7 separate regions of the Mus musculus genome follow, and regions 1, 3, 4, 5, 6 and 7 are each reported to be linked to region 2. Evidence: microRNA targets listed by miRTarBase, many of them from high-throughput screens and not tested one by one. Region 2 holds a microRNA gene; each other region holds the end of a gene's coding sequence.

Region 1 (4,065 bases), not on the chromosome of region 2:
GCCTCATAGGTTGCCATTCTATGTATCCAGAGGTTTTGTTGTTTTTAGTTGTATTTGACTTCAGGATTAAAACATTTTTTCTTGATTCTTTTTTGACCCATTCACTATTTAGTAATGTGTTGTTCAATCTTCATGAATTTATATAATTACCAGGAATTTGTTTGCTATTGATTTGAAGCTTTATTGCATTGTGGCTTGATAAAATATATTAAAATTTTTCAATTTTCTGAACTTAAGATATGTTTTGTGTCAAATTATGTGATCTAGTTTATTATTTTCATTTTTTGAGACAGGGTTTTTCTGGGTATCCTTGGCTATCTTAGAACCCATTCTGTAGACCACTCTGATCTCAAACTCAAGATTTGCTTGCCCCTGTCTCCTGAGTGCTTGAATTAAAGGTATGGACTACCACCTCCTGGCCAATATGATCTATTTTGGGTATTTGGCCTGCTGTGTAGAATGTATATTCTTTAGTGTTTGGGTCAAACATTTTGTACATATTTGTTAGCTCCATTTGCTGTATGACATCACTTAAATCTGATATCTCTATTCTTTTTTGTTGTTGCTGTTCAGATGGCCTGTATTCTGGATAAAGTGGGGTACAGAAATCACCCACTAATACGGAACTGGAGTAATCTGTGTCTTTAAGTTCAGTGGCATGTTTCTTATGAAATTGGGTGTTCTAGAGCTTGGTGCATACAGAACTGTAATGTATTCATGGTCAATTGTTCTCTTGATTAAAACAAAGACTCCTTGTCCTTAATTCCACCATTTGGAAGGAAGAAGCAGGCAGATCTTTGTGAGTTCAAGGCCCACCTGGTTTATATAGCAGGCTAGGACTGAGTAGGAAGACACAGTCTCAAAAAAAAAAAAAAAAAAAAAAAAGGTAGTGAGTGACACCTGCTTCCTTCCTCTTTGCACTTGCTTGGGATACTTTTTTCTATCCTTGTGCTTTAAGGTGGCCCCGATCTTTAAATCTTTGTTCTCAATCCATTCAACAAACCAGTGTTTCTTGACTGGGGAGCTAAGGATATTATTAAAACCTTGTTCTGGTTAAAGGTGTGTGCTGGCTCCTGGTTCTGGTTTAAGGTGTGTGCTGGCTCCTGGTTCTGGTTTAAGGTGTGTGCTGGCTCCTGGTTTGCTCTTTGCATTCATCCTCTTTTGTGCTTCAGCAATTACAGCTTCACTTGTCTTCCTTGTCCTTTTTCCTCTCTTCAGTCTAAAGAATTGCTTTTGGTATCCTCTCTAGGACCAGTTTGGTGGGCATGAATTCTTTTGGCGTGTTTATACCACAGAGCATTTTCCTCTTTCCTTCAACTATGGCAGGAAGTTATGCTGGGTACAGTACTGTAAGTTGGTATCCATGGTCTTTTAGACCTTGAAGTACCCTGGTCCAGACTCTTCTGCCTTTTACAACTTCCACTGGGAATCAGCTGTTGTTTTGATGGGTTTCCTTTACATGTTCCCTGTTCCTAGTCTCTCTAGGACTTTTATTATTTTATTATATTGGATTTTGTCAAAGGTGTTTTCTGCATCTATTGAGATAATCATGTGATTTTAAAAAAATCCTTAAGTAGACACTATTTAACAAAAGTCCATGTATACGAACAGGAAATCTCCTAAGTTGTGGCCAGGGAGTTAAGAGACTATCAAAATGACATAGGTGAATGTTGTTGCCCTTAGCTGCCTCCCAGAACATGACGGTGAGAATGACTGCTAAAGATAACAGCAACTGTCTTCATATGTGATGACAAAGAAGAGATCATGAATTTGAAAAAAGGGCATGGGAGAACCTGGAGAAGGCAGGAGAGGTGGAAATGATGTGAGCACAGTCCTCTTGTATAGAATTCTCAGAAAAGCAAAAGAAACAAAGACACCAGTGATGGCATGAAGCCCTCAGGAAGCAGAGCAGAGTGAGTGTAAATGGTGCAGCCACCATCCAACAGCTTAGCCCCTCACAAGGAGGTTACTATACGCATCGGTGATGTACAGAAACAGTTGTCCACACACAAAAAAGCACAGATATTCACGGTAGCCCTAAGGTAGGAACAGACCAAACATCAATAACAAATCCATGGAGACAGGCCATGGTGGCGCCTTTAGTCCCGGGGCTTGGGAGGCAGAAGCAGGAGGATCTCTGAATTGGAGGCCAGCGTGATCTACAAAATGAGTTACCGGACAGTCAGGGTTCCAAAGAGAGACCATGTCTCAAATGAGAGGGTGGGTGTGGCAATGACAAAATATGACTCCATTCACTGTGATTTTGTGTGTGTGTGTGTTTACCTATGTGTGGGCAGATGTCTATGGGCATATGTGAATTTTCATATTATAGGCCAAAGGTTGTAGTTGAGTGTTTCCCTTCACTGTTCTCCACTCTATTTACAGAGGCGGAGTCTCTTGCTGAATCCAGAATGCACTGATTTTGGCTAGTCTCCTTACTGAGTTTGCCCCAGAGATCCTGTCTCCTCTCACCAAGGGCAGGATTACAAGCAGATTACCATAACCACTTGACTTTTATATGGACTCAGTCCTCATAATTACATGCAAGTGCTTTACCTGCTGAGCCACCTCCCTTGTCCTCTGCTGAGGTCCGTGTGTGTAAGAAGCAGGACTGAAGGACTGCTATCACAACATGGAAGAAACTTCAAAGGCAAAGAAGCTGGAACAGAAGGGCATACTCAGCCAGGAGCCATCGTACACGCCCTTAATCTCAATACTGAAGAGGCAGAGGCAGGAGGATCTCTGAGTTGGAGACCAGCCTGGTCTACACTGTGGGCTCTAAGACTGCCAGAGCTACATAAAGAGACCACATCTCAAAACAAAAACAAAAGCCGCAGACCCAATTACTCTAAATGCATAGGCATGGAAAGAGAAAGCGGGCTTCGAGGTGGTCAGGCAGTTTGTCTGAACACTAAAGTTCTGGAAGCCAGTGGAGTCACTTGTTATACACTGTGCATAACCTGGGTGACTACATGGTATGTGAGTTAGGGCTCAACACACCTGGTCCAGAGTGGTGCCAGGAGCTGGACATGTGTATTAAACAGCATATGCATGAAAGGGTGGATTGCTGAAGGCATCATAAAGTACATAGCACCACTAGGGACACACTTACTGCCCAAGGGCTGGCCAGATGGAGTGCCTGCCCCTATCCAACTCCAATGCAGGTACGTCATCCTGAAGGGATATTTTTTTCCCTCAGAGACATACTCTGCTTATGTAAGTTTGGCTGGCTTAGAATTTACAACTTAGACTAGCTTAGCTGTTTGTTTGTTTTAAAGACAGGGTTTCTCTGTGTAGCCCTGGCTGTCCTGGAACTCACTCTGTAGAACAGCCTGGCCTCAAACTCAGAGATCCACCTGCCTTGCCTTCTGAGTGCTGGGATTAAAGATGTGCCTACCATGCCTGGCAACTAGGTTAGCTTTGAACTTGTATTGATCTTCCTGCCCTGCCTGTTAAGTGTAAAAATTACAGGTGTGCGTCACCTCATCTGGCTTTTTGTTCTTGTTTCTCAAGCAGTCTTGCTCTGTTATCCATACTGGCCTAGGATTCAGGTCCTGTTTATGTCCAAGTGCTGGGATTACAGGTGAGGTACCACATGTGTGGTTAAAATGGTTGGGAATCAAACCCTGGCCTCACCACTAAACCATATCCCCTGGCCTCCTGGAGAGTATTTTAATGCATCACTACATTGTTACATACAGAAAAAACAAGCTCTGATTCTACTCAGACTTAAGTCTATTCTCCTTCCTATCCTAGTAAGCTAACGAACGGAGAAGAGCTGACGGCCAAAGGGGACCACAGCATATTCAGCACACCCACACCCTTTTACTTCAGCGCATAATTAAATTGGTTTGCAAACTTCTCGTGTTTCTTCTGGTCCATCTGGTTCATGGCAGCAACTACTCTCTGCACGGCTGCCCTATGGAGAGAGAGCACAGTAAGAAGTGACAGGACTTGACAGACTTGACAGGACTCTGGAGTCCTAGTTTGGCTTGCTGCTTCTGGACCTCATAAAGGTTTCCAGTGGAACTTCTGTAAGGTAGTGCTCAGACAGAGCAGGGGAAC
Region 2 (4,077 bases):
TGAACGAGCACTGATTGGCCCTGTGTTCTCCTGAGCCATTCACAACACAGGCCTGGACTCTTCAAAGCAGAGACTCTGTTTATCCCATCCCCAAATGAGTTCAGCATTTGTAACTGAGTGATGGATGTGTCTTGCTGGGAAGAAGTCTTCTAGGTCTAATATTGCCTGGTTAATGACTTATGGATTGTTGTAAAGTCTGGCACCACAAGAAGTGCAGCCAGGAGTTGAAGGCCTTGGAACAGATTTCATAATAATAATACCGCATTTCATCAGCTAGGTGTTGCGCAGAGCCCTTTCCTGGAGGGAGCCTCGCTGCCGTTGCTCAAGGCTGTTACTACCCCACTCTGCGGATAAGAACCTGAGGCTCAGAGGGGGAGACACTGTACCTTACTTCCGAGTGTGGAGGTGGATTGTCTGGCAGGAAATCTCAGCCTTTGATTTTATAGTCTCTTAGTGAAGAGAAAAATTCAAGTGTAGATGGATAGAAGGAAGGCCACAGGGACCTAGTTCTAGACCTCTAAGAAGTGCTGTGGCATTTGGTGCATGGGAAACCTTTTGTTTGGACTGAGCTACTGTGACTATTCTAATGACAGTGTCCCAGAGCCAACCCCAAATTTTCCCCCTTTCTCTTCTCTGCATCTTCCTGGAACAGCAGAGATGGGTACATCTGGTTTGCCTTCCTCTGTCTGGTTTCTACCTGTTCTCCTGCCATTCAGGAGCAGTCGGGAGCTGGGGTGTGTTTCTCCTTCCACAGAGGGAAGGAAGTCAGCCCTTAGCTTGGAGGGGCATCCAGCCACTCGGAGGGTAGGAGTTTTTGTTGCTGCTCTGGGACTGGCCATGCGAGAGGAGCTACCTTTATGATAATGAGAGGCCTCAGTTGGATTTTCTTCTTCCTCACAAACTGGTGTGGTGGCATGGATGGGCTCTGAGCAGAGCTCCCTAGGAATGGTGGCAGATTCTCCTTGCTCCCCTCCTTGCTAGCTCCTGACCTGCCTCCTTACTCCCAGCTGCCCAGGGGTCTCCTAGAGAGGGTGCCTCTGTCTTGGAGTGCTTCCAGGATCAAGCGTGTGGTTCTTTTTGTCACTTGGTGGGAGGAATCAGTTCCACCCACTTAGTCTTAAAACCGTGGTCGCATGCTTCTGAAACAGTGGAGCTTTCTGGGGAAGGAAGTGGGGAGTCGTACCCTGGCCTGAGGTCTTCAAAAGAGCCAGGGGCAGTGTGACCCCGAGGAGGACCCACGGGGTCGCAGAATCTATGGTTCTCAGTCTCCCTGTCTGCAAAGCATGCGGCAGAACTAGAAGACCTCTCAGGTGCCTTGGCACTAGCTGCTTGGGGAGTCTGTTAGTGCTGATGGAGACTGTCTAGAAAAGTGCCGTGGCTTCCAGCAGCCTCTGCTCTGTGCGGCCCAGCCGACCTCATGCCTACCCAGCTCTATTTACTTTATTTATATCTTTGGCAATGATGCCCCGTGAGCACTATGTTGAACCTGGCATATGCCAGGGCCAGGGAGCTGGCCTCTGCCCCTTGATGGCTATTTGTGGTCCTGCTGTCTCTTTCTCACTTACCTGCAGCATCCCAGGGCAGACAGTGCACACCTCTGGTTGTTCCAGGCACAACTGTTGAGGAGCATGGGAGCTTTGACATCAAATAGAACCTGGCTCCATCATCAATTGTGGTATTTATTAATAATGAGATCTCTGATTTATAGGAGGTGCACTCCATGCCAGACACTGTGGCAAGTTTAATACAATAACTGTGAGGTATCCGTTACTGCTAAAACTCAAGTTTAATAAATGTAAGCTTCATACTCATTTTAGAGACGAGAAACTGAGATTCAAGTATATTTTACCTACTTTAAATCTTAAATACTTTAAATCTTAAATATCTTTTTTTTTTCCTCTAGGGGCTGAGCACTCTGGCCCACCCTACCTAAAGTAACAGTTTGCCTCTACCCAGGTGCTCACAAACTCCCTTAATGTCTCCCCTCTTCCCCCACTCAGGATTTTCTAACACACAAGACTTTTACCGTCATGTTTATACGAGCATGCCTTGCCAAATGTCAACATGGAAGAGATGTTGCCAGTGTTGTTCACCGATAAATATCCAAAGCCACTAGAATAATGTGCAGCACATAGTGGTCTGTATTTGATTATCAGTGACCAGTTGGTTACATAACTCCCTCAGGTGCAAATTACCTGGAAACTGAAAGCACACAGCTTAGGAACCCAAGCTGCAGAGTAGACAGTTTGGGGTCTAAATTACATCGTCAGCCACTTCAGTGAACTCTGACCCTGTGTAGCTTGTTCTTCCCAAGCCTCAGTTTCCTTGGTAATAGAGTAGACCAGTAACATTTGCCTTTCAGGATGGAGTAAGGATTAATGCAGACATCTATGCAGTTTTTGGCATATAGTGGGCATTCCGTAAATGTTAACTTCTCCCCGAGGATGCTCTTGTGTCTTCTTGCTTCTCATTTCTCCTCTGATGGTCTACCCTCTGACTGAACCACTGTTCCACAGTGCTGTGTAAGAGGGCAGAGCTGCTGAGGGCAGAGGACAGTGGGATTATCTGTCCTGTTAACTAGCCCTAGCTGCCTGCCTCCTTCTTCCTCCTTCCAGGATGTTCCTGTTGCCAAGGAAACACAACCTCAGCCCTTGGCAGGTTTCTGACTCCCTGTGGCTTGGCTACTGAGCTTACAAAAGGAATGAGACAGCGGTGACCATGGGCAGAGAGGTAAGGGGAGGGATTTGACTGTCCTCCTGAAGTTGGAGTCTGGAATCTCTGGAACCCTGAGATGATGAAATGATGAAATGTTCTCTGTCTCCATGTTCCTCTAACAGAGGCTGTGTTGGAGTTCTTGCTTGGTCCAGCCTTCTTGGTAGGGATGTGATGCCCAAGCCCTGGGAGGGGGCCATAGCAGCCAGAGTGACTCATATTCAGACTCTTGGCCCTCGGAATGGCACCTTCCCAGAGTTGGGACTGTTGGTGATGGAGGTGACCTGGAGAAAGTGACCAGGCTGGCCTGGTGAGGGCGCTCTCCATGTGGGTGTGGCCTGCTCTTCCTGCAGGCTTTGGTGTGACTCTGGTAGGATTGCTTCAATTCTCAGCTCTCTGGGAACTCTGTTTCTCCCTTCCCACTTAGCCCTTGACTTGGAGAAGGATGAGAGACTGTGGCTTCTGCCCAAACCAGTTGGCTACCTGAATGAAGTGGGTAGGCACGGCAGGGCAGGTAAGCATGCTAGTGGGAGACAGCCAGACTGTCTGGGACGCCACCCCACCTTTGCTTATCCCAGCTGTGTGATCCCGAGGAACCACTTAACCCACCCCTATAATTATAGCCTCTTCCTCTAGGGATTGCTGCAGGGATTAAGCGAGTTGGTTCTTGTAAAGAGTTTATGTCCAACCTAGACACGCTGAGCTCACTCACTGAAAGCCATTATTGTCATTCTGAGGGGGAACATTCCTGGAGGAGACTGCATCAGACAGAGTAAAAGCGATATTATTGTTGTAGTTATTATTACTATTAAAATTGTTAAAGATCGTTTTGAGGGGGTATTCTTGAAAAATGGAACGAAGGATGGGAAGGATCCCACTTCTGCCTTGGCTAGAGTTGATCATGTGTTATTCACCTGCCCTGAAGGTGGCTTTTCCATTTTTTTTTTTTTTTTTTACTTTTTACAACTTGGAGCATAACCTAAAAAAAAGATGTCAGGGACCTAAGTGGGTCTATGGGACAGAAGAAAGATGGGTGTGTGTGCTCCAAAGTGGACAACGAGGGCTCAGAGGCCATGAGCCTCAGGATGAGGAAGTGGAGGAGTTAAGGGGATGGGGACAGTGGCCTCCTAAGCCTTGCTGAAGCTTGCACCCACTCACCCGTGGCTGATAACGCTCAGGAAGTGAAATGAAGGTCTGGAGCCAGGGGCACCCAGCTCCAATATCTGGATGCCTGGTGAGTGGCGGGCAGGTGATGTTGGGTTGGTTCAGAGTCTGCCCATCTTCCATAAAGTTTAACCTGGTATTTTTTTCCTCCAATATAAGCTTCTTGGGTGTAGGAGACTTAACCTTCTCACTGAGGGGAGC
Region 3 (4,077 bases), not on the chromosome of region 2:
AAGAGTCTATTGAAGCATAGTGGCACACATCTGTAATCCTAGCACTTGGGAGGCAGAGGCAGGCTAATCTTTGTGAGTTTGAGGCTAGCCTGGTCAGGCAAGCTATGTAGAGAGACCCTGTCTCAAACAAACAAACAAACAAACAAACAAACAAACAAACAGAGTCACATCTTGCTGAGAAGGCATTGAAGCAATCAGTGGGCTTGGTGGCTGGAAGCTGAGAGGTCACAACTCAACCACAGCTTGAAGCAGTGAAAGCAAACTGGGAGTGGAGCAAGGCTGTGAACTCTCATGGCCTGACCACAGTGATGTACTTCTTGCGGCTAGCCTGCCCCTCGATGTAACCTTCAGATAGCACCAGCAACTAGGGATGGAACCTCTGGGGGACAGTTCTTCTTCAAACCATCACAAAGTCTCCTACCTATATCAAAACCAGACAGGCAGAATCACAAAAGGGTAAGCTGTCAACTTCAAGTATTTAAAACCAGAAACAGAAACACATTTTTTTTTTTTTTTTTGGTTTTTCGAGGCAGGGTTTCTCTGTGTAGCCCTGGCTGTCCTGGAACTCACTATGTAGACCAGGCTGGCCTCAAAGTCAGAAATCCGCCTTCCCCTGCCTCCCGAGTGCTGGGATTAAAGGCGTGCGCCACCATGCCCGGCCAGAAACACTTTTTGACACAAAAGAATAAACCCCTGTAGTGGTAAAAGTTAGAACTTAATAAAATATGTAAGAGAAAAAATATTTGGATAACTGACATATGGTAGTTATTTAAAATTCCTAGTGATAACTACATTAAAGATGAAAACACCCAATAAAGTTTCTCAATAGTTTAAGAATTTTTAAATAGGTTATGAATTTTTTAGCAGATTAAAATTAAGTTAAAATACTTTTTTCTTCTCATGGCTAGTTCCATTCCAAGGTAATCATATCACACCAAATTTTCTCTCCCAATGCATTTTCTCATGATTGTATTATTATATCCTTCTTTCAATATAGAAGATCATTCCAAAGTAAGCCCAAATGTTACGACTTGACACTGGCTGTGCTGGTATACAACTATTATTTCAGGACTAGGGAGGAAGAGGCAGGAGGATTGAGGCTTTCAAGGCAAGATTGGGCTAGCTATAAGGAAGACTTTGCCTCAAAAAAAAACAAAACAAAACAAAAAAAAAACAAAACTTGGAAAAACATCAGGCCATGGAAACACCCATCTATAATATCAGCACTTGGGAGACAAAGGCAGGCAAGCCTGTGAGTTGTGGGCCAGCATGATTAGTTACTTCTCTGTTGCTGTGATACATCACCATGCCCAAGGCAACTTAGAAGAGGTAACTTAGGCAAGTTCCAGGCCAGCAGGGGCATGCAGTAAGATCCTGTCTTAATCAGGGTTTCTATTCCTGCACAAGCATCATGACCAGGAAGCAAGTTGGGGAGGAAAGGGTTTATTAAGCTTACACTTCCACACTGCTGTTTATCACCAAGGAAGTCAGGACTGGAACTCAAGCAGGTCAGGGAGCAGGAGCTAATGCAGAGGCCATGGAGGGATGTTCTTTACTGGCTTGCTTCCCCTGGCTTGCTCAGCCTGCTCTCTTATAGAACCAAGATTACCAGCCCAGATATGGTCCCACCCACAAGGGGCCTTTCCCCCTTGATCACTAATTGAGAAAATGCCTTACAGCTGGATCTCATGGAGGCATTTCCTCAACTGAAGCTCCTTTCTCTGTGATAACCCCAGGTGTATCAAGTTGACACAAAACTAGCCAGTACAGATCCTATCTATAAAAAAGAAAAGAAAAAAGAAACAGTACTATATAAAGCAATCGATAAAGCCAAAATTAAATTTTATTTCACATTGATAGAAACTGTGAAAAACATGACATTTTCCCACATTACAGCACACAGTCAATGGAATATTTCTTATACCAAATAAATCTTTACAGATAGAATAACTGAAGTAAATTTATGTTCTTTAAAGTAAAGCAAAATAGTAAATGATTGTTTGAAATTGTTTTAAATCCAGACATTTGGCTTCATTCTATCTAGGACATACCAAAATGATCTTCATATCAATTAGCACCTGTTTATAAAGGTGCTTCTTGGTTGGTTGGAAAACAGCAAGAAAAGCAACCGTTCAGAAATAACCATAATTTTTGCAACATATTCAACTGTGTGGTAACAGTTATAAATATGGGATATATATATAATGTTCTAACCAGTCCTTATATTAAATAATTTTCACCAGTATTTTGAACATGCTGATGATTTAAAATCAAATTATTATTTTAATATTTGTACAGGAGACTGATTATCAAAAGCTCCTTTACTTAAGATGAAAATTTCAAAATAATATGTTACCCAGATAAAAATAAAACATAAGTCTGATTGCTCATCTTGAACAGTATTTGGTTTTAAGCATAACATGTACAGAAAATGTAAACTTAAAATCGGCTATAAGATATTTAAGAAATTATATTTTGAAGCCAGTCACAAGTATTTCTAAATATGCCAAGATATTACTTCCCCTTTAAGTGTTTTACAGAAAAATAAAACCACAGATTTATTACCAGGACTGGAGAGTCTATAACTCTACAGTCTAAAGTTGGACTAAGGTGCAGTTATTTGAAATATATAAACTTAAGTAATGTTTGATTTCTTTTCATATTACCTAGGTTGGAAATACTGTATGTCTGTGTTTCGGTTTGTTTGTTTGTTTGTTTCCGAGACAGGGTTTCTCTGTGTAGCCCTGGCTGTCCTGGAACTCACTCTGTGGACCAGGCTATTGACAGAGATCCGCCTGCCTCTGCCTCCCGAGTGCTGGGATTAAAGGCATGCACCACCACGCCCGGCTATGTCTGTATCTCAAAATGTCAAAATAAAATATATGACAGAGAGGCAATATTAGTTTTCTACGGAAAATCAAAAAAGAACCTTGTTTTTTCTTGAGAAAAATTACATAGAAGGGAAAAAAAGCCTGGTCTCCCAATAGAAGGGCCATTAATTGAAGAATGCAGTATTACTTTTTGACACTCAAAAGCATTATCCCCATTATTAGGGATAATGTAATACCATCTGATTCTTAGCTATTATAGTATCATCTATGTGAATACAAACAGAAAAATACAGACACTGCATGGAGACTGAACAATTGTGGAGTAAAACTATAGTCTAACTCACAGAACTAAGAAGTCACTTACATCTTACCTGAACACATCTTCACAGAACATACTAGTAATTTTCAAATGATGTAATAAAACTGTTTGTTATCTTATTTTGCTGAATTTGAGACAAAGAATCTAGTTGCTTCACTTACCTACTGTAATACTTAGTATATTCTGAATTGTATAATACAAATATATGCATAGACACTTAAAAGGATCATATATTTCCCATGAGGGTAACATCATTTAGTCTGTATCATTGGTATGTATTTGCAAAACATTTTAACACTGCACACATTAGAAGTTCTATGGTCAGTCATGGGAAGAGGTTTATACTCTACTACTGTGATGCTGGTGAACTTCTACTCAAGGCCTCTTAGTGATGTCAATCAATTGGAGGTAGGAGCTTATCAATGAAGTGCTTGACATCCATCATTTCCTGTTTGGAAAAAATGATTTAATAAACAGCTACAGAAGTCAGAAAGTACATTTCCGAGAATGCCACTAATAAAATCCATGCAGGTGAGGATGTTTTACTACTACATAAAGGTAATGTAAGAAGGATGAGGCGCCAACAGAAAGTTCATAACATTTCTTTTCTTTTCTTTATTTTATTTTATTTTTTTGGTTTTTAGAGACAGGGTTTCTCTGTGTAGCTCTGGCTGTCCTGGAACTCACTCTGTAGACCAGACTGGCCTCGAACTCAAAAATCCACCTGCCTCTACCTCCCAAGTGCTGGGATTAAAGGCGTGCGCTACCACTGTCCGGTGTAACATTTCTTAGGATTATTATTGTACACCAAAACAAAAGCTCCCATATGATCTAGTTCCATGCACGTGCAAAGTCTGTGTTTTCAAATGCATAAATAAAACACTGGGGAATCAGGAAGTTCAGAATGATACTAACCTATACAGAGAA
Region 4 (4,065 bases), not on the chromosome of region 2:
GAACTCAGGACCTCTGAAAGAGCAGTCAGTGCTCTTAACCACTGAGCCATCTCTCCAGCCCCCCAAACTGCCTTTCCTATGTATCCTTGAATCCTGATCCTTCCGTGCTGGGATTACAGGCGAGAACACCCAATACGGCTTCAGTTTTCTAAACCCCAGACCCTTGCCTTTAGCTAACCTTCTTTCTCTCTTCAACAGATGTCTCGCCTGGCCTTGCCCCAGGCAGCCCCAGACCAACCTGTGATCCCCCTGGGCCCTCCTGCCTCAGCCTGGGGAAGCATCCGGGCAGCTCATGCCATCCTAGGAGGGCTGCACCTGACCTTGGACTGGGCCGTGCGGGGCCTGCTGTTGTTAAAGACTCGACTGTGACTCGGGACTGAAAACCACCATCGATACCGCCCTTTAAAACCAGATCTTATTTATTTATTTATTTTGGTACTTGGAGGGGGGCATGATGATCAGGGGCATGCCACACCCCAAACAACCGCCCCACACCCAGCTAGACAGTCTTTCCAGTAGACCTGGGTGAGGGGGATCACCTGTGGCTTATTTATACTTATTTATTTAAACAATTGGGGGGTGGGTGGGTGCATCTGAGACCCTGAAGAGCAGGGAACTGAGATCCTGGGTTCTGGGGTCTCTATGAAATCTGTTCACAGTGTCTTCCTCACTTCCTACATTATTTATTAAACGATTACTTTTTATATTAAGAGGAGGAAGGAGGGAAGCCGGGCGTGGTGGCGCATGCCTTTAATCCCAGCACTCGGGAGGCAGAGGCAGGCAGATTTCTGAGTTCGAGGCCAGCCTGGTCTAAGAGTGAGTTCGTGAGTTCCAGGACAGCCAGGGCTACACAGAGAAACCCTGTCTCGAAAAACCAAAAAAAAAAAAAAAAAAAAAGAGGAGGAAGGAGGGGGAAAAAGGAAGCCTGGGGTTTTATACCAAAATGTGAGTTTTTTTTTGTGAGTCAGAGAAGTGAGAGGATTTAAATACATATCTATTTAGAGGTTATTAGCAGGAGTATGCCGAAAGGATCGGAGTCTAAACTGGTACCCTAGCATTTCAAAGGTCCTCAACAGATACTTAACAAAAAGTTCCAGAGCATCACCTTATAACTAATAGCACCTGTATGGTACAGAGCTGTAAGGTACAAGGTTTTTTGTTTCAGCAAAATTCACGATGACCAATGGGAAACAATCTAGGCTTTCTGGGGGGCGGGCAGGGGATGGATGAATAAAGCTAGGGATACATCCGCATGATGAAGTTCTAGCTCGCCAACCATAAAAAGGCAAGTTCCAGGCGAAGACTGCTTTAGATATTGAACGTCTCTGCGACCCAGGAGCAGCAGATGGTAGAACTACTCTCCCTATACATGAGTATGGACTGTTTGGTTTTTCAAAATGGAAACACCATGATGTTGACGATAGCTGCCTCAGGGCTGAAAACAAGCAATGGCACAGTGGGTGACTGTTACTGTTTGTGTTTGCATTTTCCAGAGTTTTCACCATGACTGTATTTTGCAGGACACATTTATAAACATTAATAAACACTATTTTTAGAATGGCACTGTACCAGTCTCTGTCTCACCCCACTGTACATGCTGTATAACCTCAAAATAGGACTCAGAAGGGACCAAGAAAAATGGTTATTTGAGCCCATGTCCTGGGTCATACTGAGCATACACACACACACACACACACACACACACACACACACACACACACATATATATATACACATATACATATATCTCCTTAAGAAGTTGTCTTAGATTCAGAAAAAGTTGCCCTGCTTTACAAAAGAGAGGGAAACTGAGGCTCAAGGGGAGGAATTGTTTTCTGTAGGGTATTTTGCCTTGGTTTTGAGTCTTACCTCACAGAGATCTGCCTGCTTCTTCCAGAGTGCTGGAATTAAAACTGTGTGCCACCATGCCCAGCTTATTGCTCTTATGCTCATACAGGTAGTTGGCCTTATATCATTATGGTACTAGGACTGAACCCAGGGCCTTGTGCATGCCAAGCAAGCACTTTAACACTCAACCGCATCTCCAAGCCCTTTGCTTTATTTTTCTATTTATTATTTTGAGACAAGGTATTGTTACATAGCCTAAGATGGTTTCAAACACGATTTTCCAGCCTCCCATCCCTAGTGCTGGGATAACAGCTGTGATGGCCATGCCCAGCTATGGTCGTCCTTTCTTTACAGTTCAGTGTTTAGTTGATTCGAGAGTTGTGGGGACACACACACACACACACACACACACACACACACACACGAGCCATTAGGAAACTGAGGCTCAATGTGGGGTTGGGTCTTCCTGAGAGTAAAGAGGAGGGTCACAGGCAGAACTAGGCCTGTGATTCAAGCCTTTGGGTTAATGATCCCTATGGAGGTTCTAACACAGATCCCTGGGGGGGGCGGGGAGGGGGGAGCGGGGGGGGGGGAGGGCTGTGTCATCACAATCTTGGGTCCAGGAGATGGAGATGTTCTGATAGAGGTCTGAGTCACCTATCCCAGCCCTCAAAAGAGTCCACACCTTATTCTGGAATGGTGAGGCCCCTAGGCAGTTCCCAGGAAGCAGCCTCTAGGGTCTAGTGAGGTCACAAAGCCCCTCTCAAAGGTTCCACCCACGGCCTAGTGCTGACTACCTCTCTGCAGGGCCATGGCCATACCAGAGTCTCTCGGCCCTGGGGACACTCCACTTTCTGTCACTGCTGAGCGCCTGACATCCTTGAAGCCCAAGGGTCCAAAGCTGGTGGGCTGGGGTGGGGGTCAGGGCTCCACTTGGGTCCAGGATTCTTGAATCTATACACCCTCACCCGCTGTTATGGCACCCGCTGTTATGAGGCGGCTGTGGCGCTTTTTTTTCCCTCCGCCTCCCCCGGAGCCTCCGAAGTGGGTTCCCATCCTTGGAGAGATGCAGAAGACCCTTCAGATGGCCGAATACCTGCCCCTCCGCCCGCTGCCCATGTTCGAGAGTAACTTTACCCAGGTCCCCAGCTCCCTGAGCCCCCTGGAAATGGGGGAGGAAGTCTGAGACACAGGAAGAGAGAGGGAACCCCTGGGCAGAGTGGGTTGAACAGGGATTTGGAATTTGAACTCCTGTAGGTAGAAGATGGGTTTGGAAAGAAAGGAGGCTCTCAGGTGAGGGATGCTGGAGGAATGTTGGAGAAAGAACTGGTCCCAGCCCTGCTCCCTGGCTGCCCCAGGTAACCAACAATGGGACTCCTGCGTTATTACACAACAAATCCAACAAGCTGACTATGGGTGTCGCAGCATCCTTGCCTGGCCTAATGCTGCCTGACATTCTGTTGATTGCTCGGCCCCCCGAGGACGAGGAGTGCTCCAGTCTCATCCTAACCAGGTATGTTCCTTGAGCCCCATCCTAGCTCACTCCACTCCATCCTATCGCACTAGCTACCTTGTCTCCCACCTCCCGCAGGATGATCCCACTAGACCTTGCCCGCCTGTATGTCGATGATCTGCCCACCTGGCGACTGAAACTGCGTCTGAGATCCGGCCGTCATTATTTCCTGGCACTGGATGCCCCTGAACATGAGCTGGCCTTTCTGTTTGACCGCTGGATTCGCCTCATCAACATGCTTCGAGGGCCTAAATTATCCAAGACACCAAAAACAGAACCCTCCGTGCTGGAAATACCCCCAGAAGTCACTCTTGCCTCCACTTGGCACTTTCAGGTGAGGATTCAATGAACAAGGCCTGGAAACCACCGTCCAGATTCCACAGAGAACAGGGGACCCACAGCCCACAGGCTAGCCGCTCCCATCCCATTGGAAAGGAGCTGGGATCCTAGAATGCTGTATTTAAAAGGAGAGTCTGACCTCATGGGACCAAGGAAGAAAAGATGGGGAGGAAGGTGCAGGCTGGGCAGGTGAGACAATCATGGGGTGGAGAAAACAGTTCAGTTGGTAAAGATATTATTGCCTAGGAACTATGAGAATCTGAGTTCAAACCCTCAGAACCCTCATAAAAATGCTGAGCGTTGCCAAGAGTGGTGGCACACATCTTTAATCCCAGCCCTTGGGAGGCAGAGGCAGGTAGATCTCT
Region 5 (4,000 bases), not on the chromosome of region 2:
CCTTGGAGTTTGTTATGAGGGTTAAGTCATGTATTGAACAGTGGCCAACTGTATGGGTATGGATTTTGCTATTTGATTCATGCTAGATTTATTCTAGTTTACCTTATTCTTTCACTGTTTTTATTTGTGACTATTGGTTATACTTGTTCACAGCTTCTCAGACAGAAGTATTCAAGATTGTCTTTTAGTCTGCCTTAAACTCGTAACAAACGTGGTCAGAATCCAGAGGCTTCATTCTGCCCTTTAACTGTCTCAGAGTGTACTCTCTGTGGGTGTGTGTGACTGCACAGCTATATTGCTATTGGTCACAGGTTTGAGGTTCTTTACAAACGTGAAAAAGGAATGAATTATTTTGAAAACCCTATTGGCATGTCATGGCAGGCAAATCAAGGTAGAGGACATAGATAGAAGACTTCTGGGTCCATTCGCCTCTTCTGTATTATGCCTCCCACCATTGTGCTGGGTCTAGGAGGCAGGCCCTTTGGGAGGTGATGGGTTCATGAGGGCTGTCTGCTTTGCTAGAGGTTCCAGAGCCTGCACTCCACCTTCAGCAGTTTGGAGGAGGTGCCTAGTTAGAATCCCCCTGTGGCATTCTGATTCCACTTCAGCCTCCAGAACTGTGAAAAAGACATTTCTGCTGTTTCTACAATACTTTGTCATAGCAACAGCAGCCCCCTAATTGTGTCTCGTCATCATTTCCTCATTAGTGGTTGTGAGAAACTACAGGCAGCCTGAAAGATTCCAGTCTTAGTGGAGGTTACAGTTTATTCTTTAGTAGGGAACATTTTCTGGATGCCCAGAGAATAAGAAAGGATTTAGCCAGTAGTCTGGAGAAGGCTCAGTATGTGTGTAGGGGCTATTTCTCATCTCAGTTGAAATGTAAGAAATTTTAAAATAGATTTATTGTTCAGTTGTATTCATACAAAGGTATTTGAAGGCCTACTATGTGTTGGGAAGAGCCAGGCACTAGAAATAAACAGATAAGTGAGCCCTAAGCTTCTAGTTGTGGTTCTAGTACAGATTGTAGCTGTTACAGGCAATGTTGGTACAATGTAATAAAAGATAAGGCAAAGTACTGTGGGGACAGAGAAGGGAAGATCATTACTTGGGACTCAGGGCAGGCTTTGTGTGCAGTCTCTGAGCTGTTGTACTTGTCTTGTTTTTACAGTTCTGGGGTTAAACTCAGGACCTTGCTCATTCTCTTAACCTGTGTCTTTATAGTATCTTGCAAGCTTACACAAGAATGTATGTAAAAGCATGAAGATGTATACCTGGTGGGGTTAGGATAGGGCAGGTTCATTGTAAGCCAAAGACAGGCCTTGCCAAGTGCTCAGTGAGCATTGAGTCCTCTTGAATGTGATGTCAGAGGTAAGAGGTCCTTCCTCTGAAAATACCTTCCAAGTTTCATTTTAAAATCCATCTTTAACATTTACTCTTTGGGAAACACATTAAAATTCAATCCCAATACATTAGAGACTTGTGTCCTGGGAACAATCCCAGAGCACAGCCACTAACAGAAACAAATGGTACCCAGTACTCTGCTCACCTAGATGGAGTTAGTGCTTGCTCCTTTCTGCCATGTGGTTCAAAAGTTCATTTATTTTGCCTAAGCTGGTAGTTTCAAAGTTAGGGGATTTGCCTCTTGGGGTTCATTCATAGGAGGTTCATTTTGGAGTATGGAGCAAAAAGATAGTGCGTTCATAGTCTCCATGAGCACATGTGTTGAAAGGGAGGGAGGGGAACTGGAGAGATGACTCTGGCTAAGAGCGCTGTTCCTTCTCATCACCCACACTGGACAGATCACAACGACCTGTCATCCGGCTTCAGAGAATCTGATGTCCTCTTTTGGCTTTTGTGACTTTCTGTGGACACTTGTACACAGACCCAGAAAAATGCACACACATGAATAAAAAATAAAATAAAAATTCAAACAACAAACCATCTGACCAAAACACACTACTGTGTATGCCATTATTTTATTCCTTTTGTGTATGTAAATTTCAAACCTGTGTGTGTGTGTGTGTGTGTGTGTGTATGTGTGTATCACAGTGTGTGATGTTTAAGAGTGTGTGCCATTTATATTTAGTACCTGTTTAGAAGCAACTGTACTAGACCTGTGATCAAGTTAGTGAGCAGTGTGTCCTTGTTGGTACTTATATTCAAAGAACAATCCATGTCAAGCCCCCACTCCCTTTTTTTCTGAGACAGTGTTTTTCTGTTAACAGCCCTGGCTGTCCTGGAACTCGATCTATAGATCAGGCTGGCCTTGAACTCAGAAATTCACCTGCCTCTGCCTCCTTAGTGTTAGGATTAAAGGTGTGTGCCAGCATGCCTGGCTCAGGTCACCTTAGTGAGATAGTGAGGCCCTTGTTGTATCCGACCCTCCTTTCAAGCTCACTAGGGCTGCAGTTCTTTGGTACCACACTGACATCTAGAGTCAGTTGTCTGCATTCCTGAGGCATTTCTGATAGGCTTTGGGTTTCCTGTTTATAGTCGTCCTCTGGTCTCTTGTAGTATTGTTTTGTTGGTGGTACAACCCAAGTTGTTTCCTATACCTCAGCTGGAGAATGTTCACTGCCCACTGCTCCGTTACAGTATCAGAAGAAATCACTTTTGTTCCAAGATACTGTTCACAATGAGTTTCTCTTACTCAGAAATTGCTCTTCTCCTTACTCCTTTTGCCCTTCTCACTTGATTCTAATTGTTTCATCATTTTTACAACTCAGGAAAGTATTTATTTCCCCTCAGAACTGAGATCTGTGGTTTAACTTGAAGCCTTCTCTCAGTTAATGCCTATCACACATCTAGTATGTTGGGTAGACTGACAACATAAACATGGTAACAGTTTTTAAAAACTGTTAAGATGAAGTTTTTTCTTCAAAGTGGGGCTTTTTAGACTATTCTTGGAAAATTAGAAAAAAGGTCCTCCAGTTGAGTTTTCTTGAGGTTTTCATATTCTGTAGCTACAATTAGTGACAGCTACTTATGCTCTGCCGTCTGGCGAGGCCGGCTGTTTTCCCACTTGTCCTGTCCTTTTCTTTTGGTGGTCACGGTTGCTTTTGAGACAAGATGATGTGTCTCTGACTTCAGGTTAATCCTATACTCAGGGATGACCTTGAACTTCTGACTCTTTATACTTCACAATGTTGGGAATACAGGCTTGTTTCACTTTGATGAGTTTATGTGGTGCTGGGGATCAAAGCTAGGGCTTTGTGCCTACTAGGCAAGCACTCTGCCAGCTGAGCTATACCCCAGCTCTCTTTGATGTTGTCTTGATTGCTGTATGTCCATTCACATTGCCGTAGATTCTGGAGTTGCACTGTCAGTGGCTTAAGTAAAAAGCAAGCACATCTATGCTCTTCCAGGGTTGGGGAGTGCTTTTCTGTTTTCATCAGTGCCCTCTTGCTCCTGTGAGAGTAAACGAAGCTGTGTGAGGTTATGTTACCAGTGGGATCATCCCATAGCTCCATAGGAGCTACTTTGTAACTGTGAAGTTTTGGTCTTGTGTATACTTGGAATCATTTTTGTGTGTTTTATGTGTGTGCGTGCACACACATGCGTGCTGGAGCATGTATGTGCTTGTGTGTGTGTAATCACTTTTTTTCTGTTTGAATTTCCAGTTTTGTGTAAGCCTCTGCATGCACTCCCACTCTTTGTTTCAGTGTTGTGTGGTCTTTTGACACAGAATATCATGTAGCCCCCTTTGAACTCACTGGGTTGCTCAGGACCACATCTAGCTTTAGACCCTCTGCTTTCACCCAGTAAGTACATGTACCATGCTCATCTTGATTTTGTTTGTTTCTGAAATAGGGCCCAAGCTGGCTAAAGCTGGTAATTCTGCCTTAGCCTCCCAAGTGCTGGGGTGATGATCCTCACGCCTGACCCTTCCAGTTACTGTAAAAGTCTGGTTACCATTCTTCCTTTTTAAAAGTCATTGTCTCACTACATGAGCCTGGCTAGCTTGCAAGTTGCCTCATCTAGATGAGGTTGGCCTCATTTT
Region 6 (4,077 bases), not on the chromosome of region 2:
CTGGTGAGATGGCTCAGTGGGTAAGAGCACCCGACTGCTCTTCCAAAGGTCCGGAGTTCAAATCCCAGCAACCACATGGTGGCTCACAACCATCCATAACAAGATCTGATGCCCTCTTCTGGTGCGTCTGAAGACAGCTACAGTGTACTTACATATAATAAATAAATAAATAAATCTTTAAAAAAAAAATAAAATAAAAAGAAGTGAAATCTTGGCTGATATAAGGTATACAGATATATTTGGAAAGGTCTAGGTAGACGAGTCATTTATTGAAAGAGAGCTGCTGGATGGGTGATATGACTCAGTGGGTGAGAGCCCTTGCTGCCAGACCTGATGCCCTGAGCCCATGCCTTGGAACCCACATGGTAGAAGGAGAGATCCGGCTCCCCAGAGTCGTCCTCTGACTTTCATGTGCATACATACACACATAGACAAAATTAATAAGGAAAAGGAGTGAGCTGTGAGGCCTTCATCTGACAGGCGGAGCTCTGAGATAGAGCAGGACTGAACTGGTTGTCTCCTGGTCTGAAGCTGCAGTCCCTACTCATGGGGCTCAGAGGAACACAGCCCAAACCTGGAACTTCCTGCGTAAGTCCTTTCCATTGCTCTCCCTACCCTGCTCCTTCTCTTCTTCACAGTAGCATTCTTGTCCCTTAGGTTGGCTGTTGTCCAGTGTGTTGCTATTGTCTGGAACTCCTACCTATCCTGGAAGGCACATCAGTTCTAAGCGTGCCTTGTTCCATGGTTTGCACCTTGTACTGATGCACCGTGACCCTGGAATGCTTGGACAGCTTCTTCAAACTAACCACATCAGGACTGGAGCGGTGACTCAGCTGTTAGAAGCACGGATTATCTGCTCTACAGAGGACCTAAATTTGGTTCCAAGCACCCACATCGGGTGGCTCACAACTCCCTATGTCTCAAGCTCCAGGAGATCTGATGTTCTCTTCTGGCCTCTGAAGCACCTGCACAAACATGTATATACCCACGAATAGACACGCATTTGTAATTAAGCACACAATGAAATCTTTAAAAGGAAGGAGTGTGTCAGCTTCCATGCTATGGGGTTGCTGATCAGAATAGGGTGACCACTCTGAAGTGGCACATTTCACTTTAACCACTAAGACATTTATAATATTGCTGTCACTCTGGCCCTTAGCTGATGGGGACACACTATAAGAATTGTGTCCTGGGGGCTGGAGAGATGGCTCAGCCTGTAAGAGCACTGACTGCTCTTCAGAAGCTCCTGAGTTCAAATCCCAGCAACCACATGGTGGCTCACAACCATCTGTAAAGAGATCTGACGCCCTCTTCTGGAGTGTCTGAAGACAGCTACAGTGTACTCATATTTAATTAATTAATTAATAATTAATTAATTAATATAGAATTGTGTCCTGGAAGCCAGGCATGGTGGTACATGCCTTCAATCCCAGCACTTGGGAGGCAGAGGCAGGCAGATTTCTGAGTTCAAGGTCAGCCTAGTCTACAGAGTGAGTTCCAGGACAGCCAGGGCTATACAGAGAAACCCTGTGTCAGGAAAAAAAACAAAAAAACAAAACCAAAAAAAAAAAAATGAAAGTCTGTGTCAGTCTCAACCTAGTGACAATCCTGCCTCAGCTTCTCAGCTTCTCAAATGCTGGATTAGAGAATTGTGTCTTGGGCTACAGATATCGCTCAGTGATTAAGAGCACTGACTGCTCTTCCAGAGGTCCTGAGTTCAAGTCCCAGCAATCACATGGTGGCTCACAACCATCTGTAATGGGGTCTGATGCCCTCTTCTGGTGTGTCTGAAGACAGCTACAGTGTACTCATATACATTAAATAAATAAATCTTTTTTTAAAATCAAACAAGAATTGTGTCTTTAGCAGTTTTGTCACTGTGCACACATAAGGAGTATACTTATGCAGATGGTAACAATCAGTTGCTCAACATGGCCTCTTCGTGCACAAGCATGTGGTGTATTTTTCTGCTGCCAGTCTGACATGGTATACTGTTTTACAGAGAGCTTTTTCATATGTAGAACACTGTCATTAAGATGTATACGCTGTACATAATTGCACAAGATATACTTCCATATTACTGCCAGCTTGGTCTGTTTCCACCAGCATTATTGCAGATTCATGAATAATGCACCAAACTGAGACATAAGAACTAATGCTGCTATGTGGTAGGGATATTTCAGCTCCGCTATGATTATCTGAAGCCACCATTGTGTGTTGCCATCACTGACTAAAAGGTTGCTATGCAGCATGACTGTCTACATTCCCACCACATAGTATATTCCTCACAGATATTTGTAGAATAATATGACCTTGCCAACTTTACACCTATGTCCCAATAGCTAGCACACGTCCCCACTCTGTATAGATACAACTTCCTGTCTAGAGTTGAGACTTGAACTCAGCATTGTGGATGCTAGTCACGTGCTCTAACAACTAAGCAACATCCCTAGACTAGAGTGGCTATCACGCTTAACTTTTCTAGGTCCTAGTGCCTTTCGAGACCCTGTCAGGGACTTTATAGGCACAGAAATAGATACATTATTATCTGGGATCTGCAGTGGCTATGAATAAGACCCTTCAGAAGAGCACAGACCTGTCTGTAACTGGAAAGAAGCAGAGGCTGTTCATTTACAAAGACAGACGCCAATGGTTTCAGAAGTGAGGGACCTGACTACACAAGCTGGTGGCAGAGGAGGAACTTGGGCCAAAGTTTTCTCACTTCTACCTAGTGATTTCTTCGTTTTCGTGTGTGTGTTTGTGTGTGTGTGTGTGTGTGTGTGTGTGTGTGTGTGTGTGTGTGTGTGTGTTCAAAACTGGGTTTCTTTGTGTAGTCTTGGAACCAGCTCAGTAGACCAGTCTGGCCTCAAACTCAGAGATCTGCCTGCCTCTGTCTCCTGGGTGCTATGATTAAAGGAGTGCACCAGCACCACCCCAGCTCCTGACCTAGAAGGTAAAAAGGTATAATAGTACTGTTTCTGTGTTTCCTAGGAAAAAGCTGACTTTGCCAAACTCAGGAGGTACGTTAAGTTCTGAAAGCCAAACACCCTTTTATGCCATTCTGACACCTGTAGATTTTAGTTTGTACTGCTGTACAATGGTCAGTAGAATGGGTCAGACCCACTGTATTGGAGAGCCTTTGGGTGGGACTGTGTTGTCTGAGCCCCTGCCAGCAGAGCATTTCTGATCTCAATTTGAGGACCCAGTAGCCGGCCTAGGGACCGTGTCTAAGCAGCCCAGGCTTCTCCCCAGAACTTCTGTCCAGATTGTGGCTGTGAAGAAGTTCGGAACCACGGACAGCTCCACAGTCCTCCCTCTCTACTTGAGAAGAGAAACAACCCCTGACTATTCCTGCTCTGGAGACATTGGTGGTTCTGTGTCGGGGAAGGACTCTGCATCCGGAAGATCTATCTTTATGGCTCTGCCAGCTTCTCCCTCTACAGCCAGGGTGCTTCCAAAGATAGCTCCAGGGACACAAAGTCAGGATACGCACCCCTCTGGGGGCTCGAAGCTGCTGGACTCAAAGCTGCCGGTGTCATTGTTTCTACAATCAGTTCATGTTCTTCGCTGACGTCAGTCGGAGCTGTCCTGGTGCTATATAAGGCTGGCGGCGGTCCCGGGACAGACCCCGTGCTCCCCAAGGCGTCTTCAGCCCGTCCCCGGGGACAGAGTGGAGCTCCATCTTGCACTGGGCAGACACTCCGATAACCTGTGAGTGGCTTGAAGCAACGATCCAGACTCCCTTACCACCAAGACTCTGCACTCAGCCCACCCACTGTGACCTGCCGGGAGGGAAGGAGGGAGAGAGGGGTGGAACTGGACTGGCACAGCGCCTAGGGCTGGTGGGCAGGATGTGGACACCAGGCAACAGCTGGAGGGTCTCGGCAGGGGCACTGGGCGTGCGCGCCAAGGGGCTCGTGTTACCTGCGGCTGCTCCAAGTGCACCTCACCCTATGCTGCCCCTGTGTGTCCAGGGCAGGCGGCACCATGATACAGAGGGGACGCGCTACGCTCCTGGTGGCGTTGCTGCTCTTGGCACAGCTTCGCCCGGAGAGCAGCCAGTGGAGCCCAGCGGCT
Region 7 (4,077 bases), not on the chromosome of region 2:
AATGACGTAGCCATACATGAATATTGTCCCTAAGGGCAGCAGAGATAGCTGCGGCGTGCTGTCACGTGCCCACATCCCAGTACGCGATGGCGTCTTCGACACATGACTGACCTGGCGCCAAGAGCCTGACCGTGCCTCTTCAGGTCCTTTGAGTTCTGGCATCTGGACCCACTCTCGTCCTTAATATGACTTCAGATCCCTTGACTGGGACTGGGTCTTAGATTCCAGATCTATGACAGCACCCCTAGTGCTCTAAGATCCTGGCGGTGCATCTGGAGCCTAACTGGTCAAAGATCCCTGGGCTGGGATTGGCATCTTGATGCCCATCCAGCCTCAGGGTATACCTTGTTCTCAGCCTGTTGCACAAGGAGTTTCACGGTCACTATTAACAAGGACCGGGAAAGCCCAAGAAAGCAAATAACAATATGGTTAGGAAAAACGGTTTTGAGAACGTAATAGCTGAACTGGATCTAAGACTAAATCAAGATAGGAGCAGGGTGCTGAATAAAGAAGGCAGCTGTCCTCTTCCAAGGACCAGCAATATGACAGGATGTTACCACTGACAAATACTGGCTAGTTTTTGTTGTTGTTGTTGGTTTTGTTTGTTTCTTTTTGTTTTGTTTTGTTGCCTGGCTTTGGGCATAAAGAGAGCTTGTCACAAAAGGATGATCTTTGTGGATTTACTGAGCCTAGCAGAGACTGGGAAGCGATCATCAAAATTCCTCTGTTTCCTTTGTTTATTCCAGGTGTCCAACAGAGCTCTGGGGACCCCATCACCCAGCCTGTTCGTTTACATTTTATTTTTATGTGTATGAGTATTTTATCTGTATGACTGTCTGTGCACCACAGTATGTGCCTGATGCCCACAGAAGCCAGAAGGCGGCATCAGATCCAATAGAGTTGGAGTTAGAAGCCACCATGTGGGTTTGTGTGAATCAAATGTGGGCCCTGTAGAAGATCTTAATCCCTGAGCCAACTCTCCAGGCCCCCAGCCTGGCGTTTAAATGAATCTGAATAAGTAAACGGTGCCAATCGCATATCGAGGCAAGCAAGAGAAGGTTGCCTTCTGCCGCTGTGTGGTTCCCAACGTTAGGCCTCCTCCATACAGCTGGACCAGCAACGCCTGGGAACTTGCTAGAAATCTTCATCCTCAGGCCCTGGCCAAGACTTCCAGAGTTGAAGTTGAAAACTCCCTTAGTGAGACCAATGATATGGATTTGTTTGTTTGTTTGTTTGTTTGTTTAATTTTTTATGACAGGGTCTATGGTGGTTTGAATAGATTTGCCTCCCCCCTCACCCCCATAGATTCAGGTGTTTCAATGTTTGACCATGGAGAGTGGCACTTAGGAGGTGTGGCCTTGTTGGAGGAAATGCATCACTGTGTGGGCGGGCTTTGAGGTCTCCTGTGCTCAAGCTCCGCCCAGGGTGGAATCAGAGCATCCTCCTGGCTGCCTGCCAACTAGAGTCTCTTTCAGCTGCCTGTGGATCAAGATGTAGAACTCACCGTTCCTATAGCACCATGCCTGCCTGCCCACTGCCATGCTTCCCGCCTTGGTGGTAACAGACTAAACCTCTGACGCTGTAAGCCAGCCCCAATTAAATGTTTTCCTTTGTAAGAGTTGCCTTGGTCATAGTGTCTCTTCACAGCAATAAAACCGTAAGACAAGGTCCATTTCTGTGTAGTCTTGGCTGGCTTTGAACTTGTGCTAATCCTCCCACCCCTGCCTCCCAAGTGCTAGGATTACAAATGTGTCCCATCACTCCTGGCAGCAATGTGGATTTTAACAAACTCTCAGCGTATGCTCACACAGGTGAAGGGTGGACCATGAGGCTAAGAGTGGGACTATAAAATGGGGGAGAGCTACCTGTCCACATAGAATAACGCGCTACAGTGAGCAAAATTAAAATTGTTAGTCTACGAAGAGCTGGCGGTTTCTGGAGAGTGGAGGTGGTTTGGGTTTTTGTTGTTGTTTTGACACAGCACTTCCTGTATCCCAGGTTAGCCTCAAACTCCATCTGTAGCAAAGGAACAACTGATTGTCCTCGCCTCCATCTTTCAGATGATGGAGATACAGGCAAACACTACCTCAGCAGGTCAATGTCCAGTGATAATTTTTTTAAAAACATCTTTGGTGATGTATGTGTTCATGACAGAGATGCGTCTGACAGCAGGGTGTGGAGGCACACACCTTTAATCCCAGCACTAATTCCAGGACAGCCAGGGACCCCATAATGATATCCCATCTCAAAAAACAAACAAACAAACAAACAAAACTGGGGGTGGAGGATGGGTTCATCCTTCCTTGGGCAACGGTTGGAACTGAATGCCCACAAAAGCCATAGAGGACAGAGGATGAAACAGAGACCCCAGAAAGACGAAAGTGGGAGAGGGAGATTGGAGGAGACCTGTGAGCAAATCAGTATTCAGTCAGGGATACCAAAACCCAGTGTGAGGTAGAAGAGCTGCATACAGTGTAGTGAATCTTTCTTAAAATCCTCCTGACTTTGGGAACACGGCCTTTGAAAATAAAGTCACATTAATAACCAGAAGAAAGACTTTTTCTCATGAATCAGTTTCATCCCTGCGGGCCCTCCCGCCCCCACCCCCACCCCAGTTCCTGCCTCCCCTGAGCTGCTCCTGGCTGGCTGTAAAAGTAGTGAAGCCCAGCAAAAGTTCCTGCCCAGGCACACAGGGAGCAGGACTCAGCTCTTCTGTCTCTAAGAGGAACTGCGAGTACTTCCCTAGGTAAATGGGGTCCAGTTCTCTAAGCCAAACACCCCAGGTGAGCAGAGCTTCACAACACACAGGACGTTCTCCAAACATTTATTCAGTTTACGTTTGAGATCTCCCCTCTCCAGAACCTCAACGCAACTTGGGATGACCCTGGATGTGACCACTGAGGTACTGAGGAAGGGGGCCAGGCAGGACTGCCTTCTTGTGAAGCCTATGAGGCAGAGGCTATGCATTCCCTGGCAGATTCCCAAGTGGGTACAAGATAATTTCTGCCAGCTCCCAAATACTTAAGTGCCAACCTCATACCTCTGTAGGGAGTTGCCAGTGTTCCCTTCCTCCAACCCTCTCGTTCTCCATCTCTCTCTCTTTTCTCTCTTTTTCTTTTCTTTTTTTTTTTTTTTTTTCTTTTTTGAGATAGGGTTTCTCTGTGTAGCCCTGGCTGTCCTGGAGCTCACTTTTTAGATTTTTAGACTGGCCTCAAACTCAGAAATCCGCCTGCCTCTGCCTCCCGAGAGCTGGGATTACAGGTGTGTGCCACCACACCCGGTTGTTCTCCCTCTCTTTCAGTGGTCACTAAGCTGTGTGATGTAAACAGAGCCAGGTGATATTATCTCTTCTTGGCAGATGTCCCCAAGATCATGGAGTCATGGTTCTCCACCTAGCAGGCAAGCTGGCCCTCTAGTCCAGGTTAGTCCACCAAGTGTGGGTGTATCATGAGGCAAGTAACCAGAACACCAGTCAGAGCACTTTGCAGCCCCCAATCTCCCTGCCACAGTCTACTGTGGCAATAGCTGCTAACTGGAATTTGAAGAAAGGGCAGAAAGACAGAAAGGGAAAATGGAGAAAAGGCACAGTGGGAGACTCAAAACTCTCAGGAAGACAGGGCCTAAGGAGGTCACAGAGCTACCAGGAGGGCCAAGGGAAACACCAGAGACAGGTATAGGACCAAGACTCCCATGGGATCCATACGGGAAGCCTGACTTAAGACATAGCTGACCCACTCATTGTACTCAGCGATGTCTGTGTAAACTGAGAGGACAGGGACTCCATTGCAGTTGATGCCCCAGCTCATGATCCCCACCTGGGTCCACGTGTTGTCAGATTCGCAGACAAGGGGGTTCCCAGAATCTCCCTGGAAAACAAGAGGAAGAAACCAATGGCTGGGATGGAAGAGAGAGCAGACTGCATTGCAAGGTGCTGGGACACTTTCTTGGGCACCCAGAGCCTCTCCCAGGCCTAGCTTCTTTTAATGACTGAGATCTAACAGATGAAAATCTCCTATGAAAACATCAACATTCTCTAGGCAACGATACGTGCTCGGTGATGATTAGGCACACAGGCAC

What was found. The annotated mature microRNA mmu-miR-3085-3p reads UCUGGCUGCUAUGGCCCCCUC and lies in region 2 at 2,902-2,922, opposite strand. An mRNA with a match to its seed (bases 2 to 7 or 8) in the 3' UTR can be bound and repressed. Matches are read on the target gene's strand: a 7mer-m8 pairs with bases 2 to 8, a 7mer-A1 pairs with bases 2 to 7 and ends in A, and an 8mer does both.
Region 1: miRTarBase lists Uvssa as a target of mmu-miR-3085-3p. Seed matches in the 3' UTR shown: 7mer-A1 at 3,487-3,493 and 7mer-m8 at 3,300-3,306.
Region 3: miRTarBase lists Lypla1 as a target of mmu-miR-3085-3p. Seed matches in the 3' UTR shown: 7mer-m8 at 2,745-2,751.
Region 4: miRTarBase lists Il11 as a target of mmu-miR-3085-3p. Seed matches in the 3' UTR shown: 7mer-m8 at 838-844.
Region 5: miRTarBase lists Igsf6 as a target of mmu-miR-3085-3p. Seed matches in the 3' UTR shown: 7mer-m8 at 2,228-2,234.
Region 6: miRTarBase lists Mpv17 as a target of mmu-miR-3085-3p. Seed matches in the 3' UTR shown: 7mer-m8 at 1,504-1,510.
Region 7: the mRNA of Prss43 is a reported target of mmu-miR-3085-3p. Seed matches in the 3' UTR shown: 7mer-m8 at 3,170-3,176.

The regions. Positions count from the first base shown.
Region 1 is chr5:33,414,652-33,418,716 of GRCm38, reverse strand. Uvssa (UV stimulated scaffold protein A) reads right to left here. Exons shown (of 14, transcript NM_001081101.2): 14 at 1-3,919. The coding sequence ends at 3,826. Among named protein-coding and RNA genes, the nearest start is that of Nkx1-1, 17 kb to the left of the region's middle.
Region 2 is chr19:42,277,194-42,281,270 of GRCm38, forward strand. Mir3085 (microRNA 3085) reads right to left here and starts at 2,977; the gene lies at 2,889-2,977. Gm34347 (a long non-coding RNA gene) reads left to right here. Exons shown (of 3, transcript XR_386718.4): 1 at 1-2,730.
Region 3 is chr1:4,844,484-4,848,560 of GRCm38, reverse strand. It overlaps Lypla1 (lysophospholipase 1), which reads right to left. Exons shown (of 9, transcript NM_008866.3): 9 at 1,826-3,598. The coding sequence ends at 3,545. Among named protein-coding and RNA genes, the nearest start is that of Tcea1, 11 kb to the left of the region's middle.
Region 4 is chr7:4,769,871-4,773,935 of GRCm38, reverse strand. It overlaps Il11 (interleukin 11), which reads left to right. Exons shown (of 5, transcript NM_008350.4): 5 at 199-1,558. The coding sequence ends at 369. Fam71e2 (family with sequence similarity 71, member E2) reads left to right here and starts at 2,666. Exons shown (of 11, transcript NM_172895.3): 1 at 2,666-2,989; 2 at 3,207-3,361; 3 at 3,440-3,695. The coding sequence starts at 2,825.
Region 5 is chr7:121,062,110-121,066,109 of GRCm38, forward strand. Igsf6 (immunoglobulin superfamily, member 6) reads right to left here. Exons shown (of 6, transcript NM_030691.1): 6 at 1,958-3,408. The coding sequence ends at 3,352. The region is part of intron 4 of Mettl9 (methyltransferase like 9); the gene reads left to right. Among named protein-coding and RNA genes, the nearest start is that of Igsf6, 10 kb to the right of the region's middle.
Region 6 is chr5:31,138,431-31,142,507 of GRCm38, reverse strand. Mpv17 (MpV17 mitochondrial inner membrane protein) reads left to right here. Exons shown (of 8, transcript NM_008622.6): 8 at 658-1,845. The coding sequence ends at 727. Ucn (urocortin) reads left to right here and starts at 3,613. Exons shown (of 2, transcript NM_021290.2): 1 at 3,613-3,711; 2 at 3,975-4,077. The coding sequence starts at 3,988.
Region 7 is chr9:110,830,571-110,834,647 of GRCm38, reverse strand. It overlaps Prss43 (protease, serine 43), which reads right to left. Exons shown (of 6, transcript NM_199471.1): 6 at 3,141-3,866. The coding sequence ends at 3,630. It overlaps Prss45 (protease, serine 45), which reads right to left and starts at 60. Exons shown (of 6, transcript NM_153172.1): 1 at 1-60. The coding sequence starts at 14.